Linked DNA regions of Sus scrofa. The protein of the gene in region 2 purifies or fractionates together with the protein of the main gene of each other region. This does not show direct contact. Links are inferred from orthologs where the notes say so. Each region holds a gene or a part of one and is shown on either strand. Other genes may lie near its edges. The genes, in order: GNG2 and GNB5.

Region 1 (4,485 bases), about 62 Mb from region 2:
TGGAGATAGGTTGTGGTGATGTTTGCACAGCAATTTCAACGTACTTAACGCCACAGACCACTACACTTAAAAATGGTTAAAACGGGAAATTTTATGTTATATACATTTTATTATTACCATAAAAAAACATGTCTCCTGGGACCTTTAAGACAATGGCAAAGACAAAGAATATGCTAACTTTTCTTGACACCAAGCAGGAGAAAAAAAAATGACATCTGAGTACCTACTATGGACAAGGAGGACACTCACATATCCACACACAAAAGCAAAGACCAAATAAAATACAACAAACCAAACCAAAGACAATGAATAATACCCTAATTATGTATTATTAACCCCTCTTTACAGTGAAGATCAGTCAATGTACCAGGTCAAGGAGTAAGAACTAGTGATAGGATTTAAAAGCAGATCTGCCTGACTGCGTTCTTTTCCCATCTCCATGCTGTTTTCTTTTACCCAGAGTTGTCTTTGAAGAGGCTTGTAGAGTTTTTATACTTAAAAGTCGGGCCTGCCTTCTGAAGTAGGCTAAAAAAGTCAGTCATCCCAACACCTTCCCTGTGTGCCCACCATGAAGCCCACGACTGGCCAGGAAATCATGGAGTCATGTTTCTACTCAGCCATTGACCATATGGCAGGAAAAAAAAAAAAAAACAACACACAATTAAAATTTCAGTGTTGCTTGACTCCCTCAAAAGCCACCCAATACCCTGGACAAAAGCAGTATGTCTTTCAATATTCCATATGGCCAGAATAAGTGGAAATCGTCCCATTTTACAGGATAGGGGCTTTTTCATCTTTTGTTTAAACCTCCTACCATCTTAGTTACTGATCTGCTGTTACTCATTCATGCTGTGCTTCAAGCTGGAATTTCACAATTAAGGAAATGTTTTGGACTGTGCAGATAACTGGCATCTCAGATGTTTTCTAAAAGAGAGCAGGGGGCTTCAAGGCTCCCCTATGCCTATGAGCCAAGGTTTCGTTTTCTTACTCTTTTAGTGAAACACACAGAGAGGAGTAAGGCAGACTGTCTACGCATCCCCACACAAAGCAGGGTGTTGGCATCATCTAGTGAATCCAGCCTGGGGATGAGTAAGTACCACGGGCTGAGCCCCATCCTCATTGATACAGCCCAGACTCCCAAGTTCCCATTTCATTTAATGCCAAACAGCTTGATCGCAGAGCTCCAGTGAGGGGCATTCTGGGTCCAATACCCACGTGAGAGCTCCTTTAGAGGAAAACGATCTTTTATACATATTTTGCTCTAGGAGACATACGGGAACCGGAACTGTGGAATGCGTGGCGTGACTTGTTTTGCCCACAGGTTTTTTTAAATTCGGTGCATCTGTCAGGGGCGCTCCATGGTTTCAACACCAGCAATATTTCACCTCTTAGTCATCGGCAGAGGTTCAGTTTCATAAGTAAGCTCAGAAAATTCGACTTTTTTTTCTTTCGTTAGTATCTAAAGATTCTTATCTCTGAAAATGTGCTACTACCTATCCCCCAAATCTGGAGAAGCCAAATAAATTTCAGAAAAATGATATTAAAAAAACCACTATGGCTCTTCACAATTGAGAATGATGATAAATGAGGGAGCATGTACACTCCCCCTGGCATAATTGTGTTTAAAACCTACATCTTAAGAATGTATGAGTGTCTAAATATGACCTTTTTATTATTTTTACTCCACTGTAAGTGGTTCTTTCTTTCCTTTGAAAAACATATCTCCTTTCACTGTAAAAATGCAAGACAAAACCTTCTATCAATGATCATTTATTGCTTAACCGCACTTTCTGTTGGAGATGAAGCTTAATTTTCTAAATCAGGCTATGCTAGCATATTCGATTCCTTTTCATACGTATCCTGCCAAAGGAATCTCACAATCTCATTGCTAATCTGTTAGACCTATTTATTGTACTTGTATATACCATTCACAAATATGAACAGCCTTGGCCAGAGACCCTCAAGAAGACTCATTGTTTAAGAAAAATCACACAATAAAAATCACATTCTGATTTCACTATTTCATCCAGCCACAGCCAATGCAGGTGAGAAAGCAACGCGGCAACACTTTCATATGCTGTCCGTCCCTGAGGCTAATATGCACCTTGACCGAGAGATGAATAAAACCTTCATAAACATAAAATCCATATATACACCAGTATGATTCTGGACAAGTTAAACCCACCACACACCTTTGAGAAAGGATGCAACTTTAGGATAAGACCGGTTGGCAAACGATAGCTGTTTCTGAGGTTATCCTGAAAGCAGCGGTACCAGTTTTTAATGATAAATACTGCCCCTCAGATACGCAATTTCAGGCTTTGTTGGCAAAATCGGAGTATAAAAGGATTTAACAGCAACAACAAAAGCCAAATCACAGTCTTTCTGCTGCAAGACAGAAGCTTCCCCCCGGGGAGTGTGTAAGAAAGAAAATGCAGTGAACATTTTACACCACTTACACCCCTCAAACAGGACTGCAACGCTCAGATGATCAGCCCACAGCTCCACAGCCCCAATTGATTTCAACTGGGCTCTGCTTTTCTTCCAAGAGAACTATGCAAACATTTAATTGTTTTCCTGATGAGTCACTGAAGCTAAGCACATAATGAGGGTTATTTTTTTAATAAAACAAAGGTGTCATACATTTGGTCATTCTCAGAAGCCCTCCTAACAGAACCCACCCTGACCCTTTTCCCTCATCCCCGAACACTGTGCCTATCTTCCCTTCGAAATCTGCCCTGAAAACCGCAGGCGGTGATCATTTTCTCACTCAACGAGGAGCAACATGAAAAGCTTTTCCTTTACCTTGGCTCCCGAGGCTGGTCCGAGCAGAGTGGCTTTCCTGCCCTCCCCGAGCCGCTGTGTGCAGCACAGCTCCAGCGCAGCCAGCCCAGCCCAACCCCGCAGTAGTAGGAGCTGCCCACGGCGCGCAGCACGGGGAGTGTGTGTGTGTGCGCGCGCGAACGTGTGTGTGCGCGCGCGCTCGTGTGTGTATGTGTAGCAGCAGCGCCCGCAGCCCAGGGACTAGTCCCCACCCAGCTTTGTCTTCAATCATCCGTCTTTCTACAGGAAGCGGCGCATCTCCCACTTCCTCCTCTTGCGAGCTGCGAGCTGCTTGCTTCTTTCCCTCTCGTTCCATTTCAGAGCTCCCTGGAGCCCTTTTCCCTTGCCTTGGGCAGCTGACACCCATGTGACTAGAATCCCCTTCCCCTCTTTGTTCCAAGTCCCTTTGGTGCCATCTCCTCCTTCCTTCAACTTCTCCATGCCTCGATTTCCTCATCTGCAAAATGGGGGCCATTATAGTCATATGCCACAGCAGACCCCAGAGGATTAAGTGAAATGGTGCACAGAATAATCATCATTCCTGAAAACACAGGACGTGTTCAATACACAGCAGCTCTTATTTTTAGAGGACCTTGAGTCTCAGAGACAGTGAGTAACTTTGGCAGTCAGCAGCCACACCAGGACCTGTACTTAGTTTCCCAATTCCCCACAGTTAGTATATCCACCCCTAAACCTCAGGGCTCTCAGGGCTCTGAATTTATTCAGCTTGTGACTCATTCTCCTCCACCATGAACACAAGGTGCTTTGGGGAAGCTGTAGATTCAACAGGGGCTGAGGGGAGGGGAGGGGAGGGGAGGGGAGGGGAGGGGGAATCTTTCTAATGTCCTGGGAACACCATTAAGAAACCTCTTCTCAGAAATCAGTGTCTGGAAAGCTAATCTTCTGGGGCAACAGAGTTAATTCCCAACTCCACTTTTGCACCCAGCCTTGACTTAACTGTCCAGCAAGTAAACTAACAAAATGTTGAAAAACTGGAGTGGATACAGGAGAACTATATTGTCCAGGATGTCGCCAGATAAGACTTCCTTACCCACTTGGGGACCACAGCACATTAAGTCTGGAAGGTACAGAATTTAAATTTTTTTTTTTTTTTTTTTTTTTTTTGGCCACACTCACAGGATGCAGAAGTTCTGTGGCCAGGGATCAAACCTGTGCCAGGGCAGCAACCCAAGTCACAGCAGTGACACACAGGGCCCTTAACCAGCTGAGCCACCAGGGAACTCCTAATTTCTATGAAATGATCTGAGACAATCCACAAGATACCCTTTGTTTTGATTTGATGTTCCATGAACAGAATTTGGTTCTTTCTTCCTAGAACTTTTTAAGCAAAAAGCACCCTGATGTCAACTAACTAAAGTCAGAAAATTACAAAATGGATTCTTTCAAGATTTAAAATGAGGGACTACTTTTGAACAACAAGAATTATAGTGGTGGGAGAGAATAGGGCATAGTTCCCACAGCTTCCTGCAACCCAATGAAGATTAGACATGAATTACCTCCAAGTCAGGAATCTTGGTGCCAAAGGTTACTGGGAGCTTTTAAATGAAAATTTACACATATATGATATCAAGTCTAAAAAAAAAGCAGCACGATCATGAATGGTTGGGAAGATTATGGAAACAAATCTTTGGTTAATTTTAA
Region 2 (3,803 bases):
TGAAAAAAGGCACTCAGCTCTAAGGACAATAGAGAGCATCAGATGACTGGCTACTTTTTTTTCTTTTTATGGTTGCACCCAGGGCATATGGAAGTTCCCAGGCTAGGGGTCCATTGGAGCTGCAACTGCTGGCCTACGCCAGAGCCACAGCAATGCCAGATCCAAGTCACATCTGCAACTTAAACTACACTCATGGACTGAGTGAGTCCAGGGATCAAACCTGCATTCTCATGGATATTAGTCGGGTTCTTAACCTGCTGAGCCATAATGGCAACTCCAAGATGTGTTTTTCAAGTAATTTTTAAAGACGGTCTTTGAAATTCTCTCTCTCCCCCAACTCTATGTCTATCAATCTTAAAATATGCCATAAATTTGTCCAGTCCTAATGAAGTCCCTCCATCAAAAGACTTGCCTTAAACCAGACCCCTAAAAACCTCATAAATATCTGCCTTTGCTCTCCCCTTCTGAAGTGCTAATAAGACTGTCAAGTGTGCCATCTGCTATAGCGAGGTAAGCTTTGTTTGATGAACAGGTTATCTTGGTATTATTTCTGAGTAGTCAACATCTGACAAAGTCCTGGAACTCTTTGAGAATGTAATGAAAGCCATGAAGACATTTTTTTTTTTTGAAAAATGCACACACATACACAATTTGGCATATGACTGCAAGGGCTTCATAGGTCTCTGAAAGCCCCTCTGTGGGCTTCACAGTGGTCTGTGACCACAGAATAAGAACCCTGCACCACTGGGAGGTGAGAATGATAATCTAATTTGTCAAAGGTGAGAATCAGTCTTATGGGGTATCTATGCTTAAATACCTGCGTTGATGGGGAACTCACTACCCACCCAGTCAAATCATTCCTCTGGGGCTATCAGAATTGAAATCAGAGCTCTATTTGGCTGCCTAGGTCAAACAGACCTCTCTGCTTTCAGGAAGGCCAATCACTCCTGCTTTCACACACAGGGTAAAGTAGTAAAACATGTCTCTTACCCTGAGTGTATGATCCCATGATCCTGAGCAAAAAGCAGTCCCATCAGGGGAAACTCGTAGAGTACTAACACGGTTTTCATGTCCGAACAGGATGGAGACTCGGGATCCCTTGAGGACATCCCAGACATTGATGGTATAATCATTGTATCCAGCAAACAGCAGGCGACCTTAAAGCAGGAGGATATGATGGTTATGAAGCCAGTTCCCTCTTGTTTTTCTTTTCATGACTCTCACTCATGTGCTCGCTCATTCATTCATTCACTATTCAGTAAATAGTGATTTAGTGCCTACTATGTACCAGGCATTGTGCTTCACCCTGGGAATTCAAAGAGGAGAAAGGAGACCTGCGGAGGATGGTGATGGCCCAGGCTCACTCATAAATCATTGCAGCAGCAGGTAGTCAGGGCTGTAGTGGAAGTGCTCAGCTGTATGTAAAGTGCTATGTAATCACAGAGGAAGAGGAGGGATCTAGGAGGGCACTGCAGGGGAAGTGACATCTGAGCTGGCCTTTGAGGGCTGAATAAAAGTTTGCCATGGAGAGAAGGGAGGGAAAAGATGTTCCAGGCAGTGGTCACAGCATGCATGCACAAAGGCATGGTTGCACAACAGGAGGGTATCCAGGAGAACTGAATGGTCCAGTGACCTAGCGTATCAGTGTGGCCCTAACTTTCATTGGCAGCCACCCCAGCTATAAAGGCAGAGGTACCATGAGCTTCAGGGCATTAAGAAACTAGCACAATACTATAATTCAAGAATTGTTTAATGAATAAAATTTTTAAAAAAGAGAGACAAAGGGACTCTTGCTTCACCCCTGCCACCTCTGAAAAAAATCCTTTTTCAGGTGTGAAGGGAAAAATGGAAGGCTGGGCAGGAAAAGCCTAAAGGTCCTGCAGATGGAGTTTTGATGCATCATTGTATCAAAAGAAGATACAATCAGTCTTCAAAAGAAGTTTGTCTTGAAGAAGAGCATCAGATGGGCCCAGCCTTCATTTCCTGGGGTTGTGAACTGGGCTGGGGAAGCTACCTCAGGCAGGGTGAAGCAGGGCATCAAAAATGCAGTGGAGGAAAACCGGCACAAAAGACTCTTCGGCACATGGCCCCCCAGGAGGTCTAGCTGAGGGGAAGCTTGAGAGAGCCTGGTTTCACTGAGGGAAAATTTCTGAGGCAAAATCTTACCGCTGAGGGAGAAGTCCACACTGGAAGCTCCAAAGATGATACTCTCCTTGGAATAGATGGCAACCTCCCTGTCTGCCCGGAGGTCGTAGAGGCGACACTGGGATGACAAAGAAGACAAAGAAGCACCTGTTTCTGGATCCTGTATGGTGCACCAATGACCAGAGAGCTACAGACAGGTGCTGGAGGCTTGTGTGGTTTGAGGGATAAGTAGAACATCGCTTTCATTTTTTTCTCCTGGTGTTTTCTCCCTCAAACCGGATTCCTATTAATTTCTATGGATCATTAGAGATTCAAAGGAATAGCAAATACAGATTGCTCTGTGTACAAAAACAAAAGTGAAAGCCCTCTTTTTCTTTTTTCTGATAAAGAATATGTGTTCACTGTAAAAAAAAAAATTCAAAAAAACTCAGAAATGCATTAAAGGAAATAAAAGTTACCTTAAATCCTAGAGGTATTTATTACTACCTGGGCTATTTTCTTCAGTCTTCTCCTATTTTTTTTGGTGTATTTTTCAGTGAGGTGGATGTTTCCTTATTGCTTCCATTAGCATTACATTATGAGCATTTTCTCATATCATTAAATAATCTTCAAAAAACCAAAATTACTGCTCAGCATGAAGCGGCTACAGAAGATGAGACCTTCACCCAAATGCCAAAGATGTGGCATTGTCCATCTGTTGGGGATAATGTGGGAGCCATTCTAAATAACAAAAGCCTCTTTGGTAACCTCCAACTGACCAATAAGCAGCCCAAACAGCCATGTTTTAATCCCTTATTTGCCTGGTAGGAATGGAGAGAGAGCTGTCTGAAGCCAGTTCTCTTACAAAAAGAGCCCAAACCACTACCCCAGGGCAGATGAATTCTCTCGTCCTGCCTTCCCACAGCTTCCCTTAGCAGTGTATTCAATAAATCTCTTCTAATCTAAAACAAAACCAAACCAAACCATGATTAACATGGTTGTTCCATTCCCATGTGGATATATCAGAATCTAGACAGCCGTACCCTGCTAAGTGTTTTGACTGTGTCTAATTTTTCTCTTTAATAAATAAAACTATGGGGAAGCCATGATCATTCTTCTATAAAAATCTTTATCTGCATTGCTTATATTTTCCTTATAATACCTAAGGAATAGAATCCTTAGAATAGAAATGTTTCCAAGGAAAAGCATGGTCAGATCAAAGGATAGGGAAGTTTTGAAAGCTCCTGATCCCCATCACAAAACTGCCCTGCAGAAGGCAGTTACCCAGGGGCCTTACCGAGGCTCACCCAAGGCTCCTTCACTGCCCCACCTCCACCCCTGAGCATTTCTCAGCTAATCCAAGGGGCAAGTAAGCATCTGATCATTTAAACTTGCATTTCTGGAGTTCCTATTGTGGCTCAGCGGTAATGAACTCAAATAGTACCCGTGAGGACACGGTTTGATCCTTGGCCTCACTCAGTGGGTTAAGGATCTGGCGTTGCTGTGAGCTGTGGTGTAGGTTGCAGATGCGACTCAGATCTGGCACTGCTCTGGCTGTGGTGTAGGCCGGTGGCTGCAGCTCCAATTTGACCCCTAGCCTGGAAATTCCATATGCTGCAGGTACAGCCCTAAAGAGACAAAGAAAACAAAACAAAAACCCTTGCATTTCTTGGATTACA

Evidence for each region.
Region 1: the proteins of GNB5 (region 2) and GNG2 purify together in Homo sapiens (affinity purification with western blotting; 4 studies listed by BioGRID and IntAct, with this or other methods). This does not show direct contact. The link is inferred for Sus scrofa from reciprocal best matches to the Homo sapiens genes GNB5 and GNG2.

What each region holds. Positions count from the first base shown.
Region 1 is NC_010443.5:181,514,663-181,519,147, reverse strand, and holds the start of GNG2 (guanine nucleotide-binding protein G(I)/G(S)/G(O) subunit gamma-2), read right to left. Parts: upstream 3,054-4,485; 5' UTR 2,806-3,053; intron 1-2,805. UniProt on the Homo sapiens protein: Guanine nucleotide-binding proteins (G proteins) are involved as a modulator or transducer in various transmembrane signaling systems.
Region 2 is NC_010443.5:119,583,183-119,586,985, reverse strand, and holds part of GNB5 (guanine nucleotide-binding protein subunit beta-5), read right to left. Parts: intron 2,264-3,803; coding exon 2,167-2,263; intron 1,158-2,166; coding exon 991-1,157; intron 1-990. UniProt on the Homo sapiens protein: Enhances GTPase-activating protein (GAP) activity of regulator of G protein signaling (RGS) proteins, such as RGS7 and RGS9, hence involved in the termination of the signaling initiated by the G protein coupled receptors (GPCRs) by accelerating the GTP hydrolysis on the G-alpha subunits, thereby promoting their inactivation.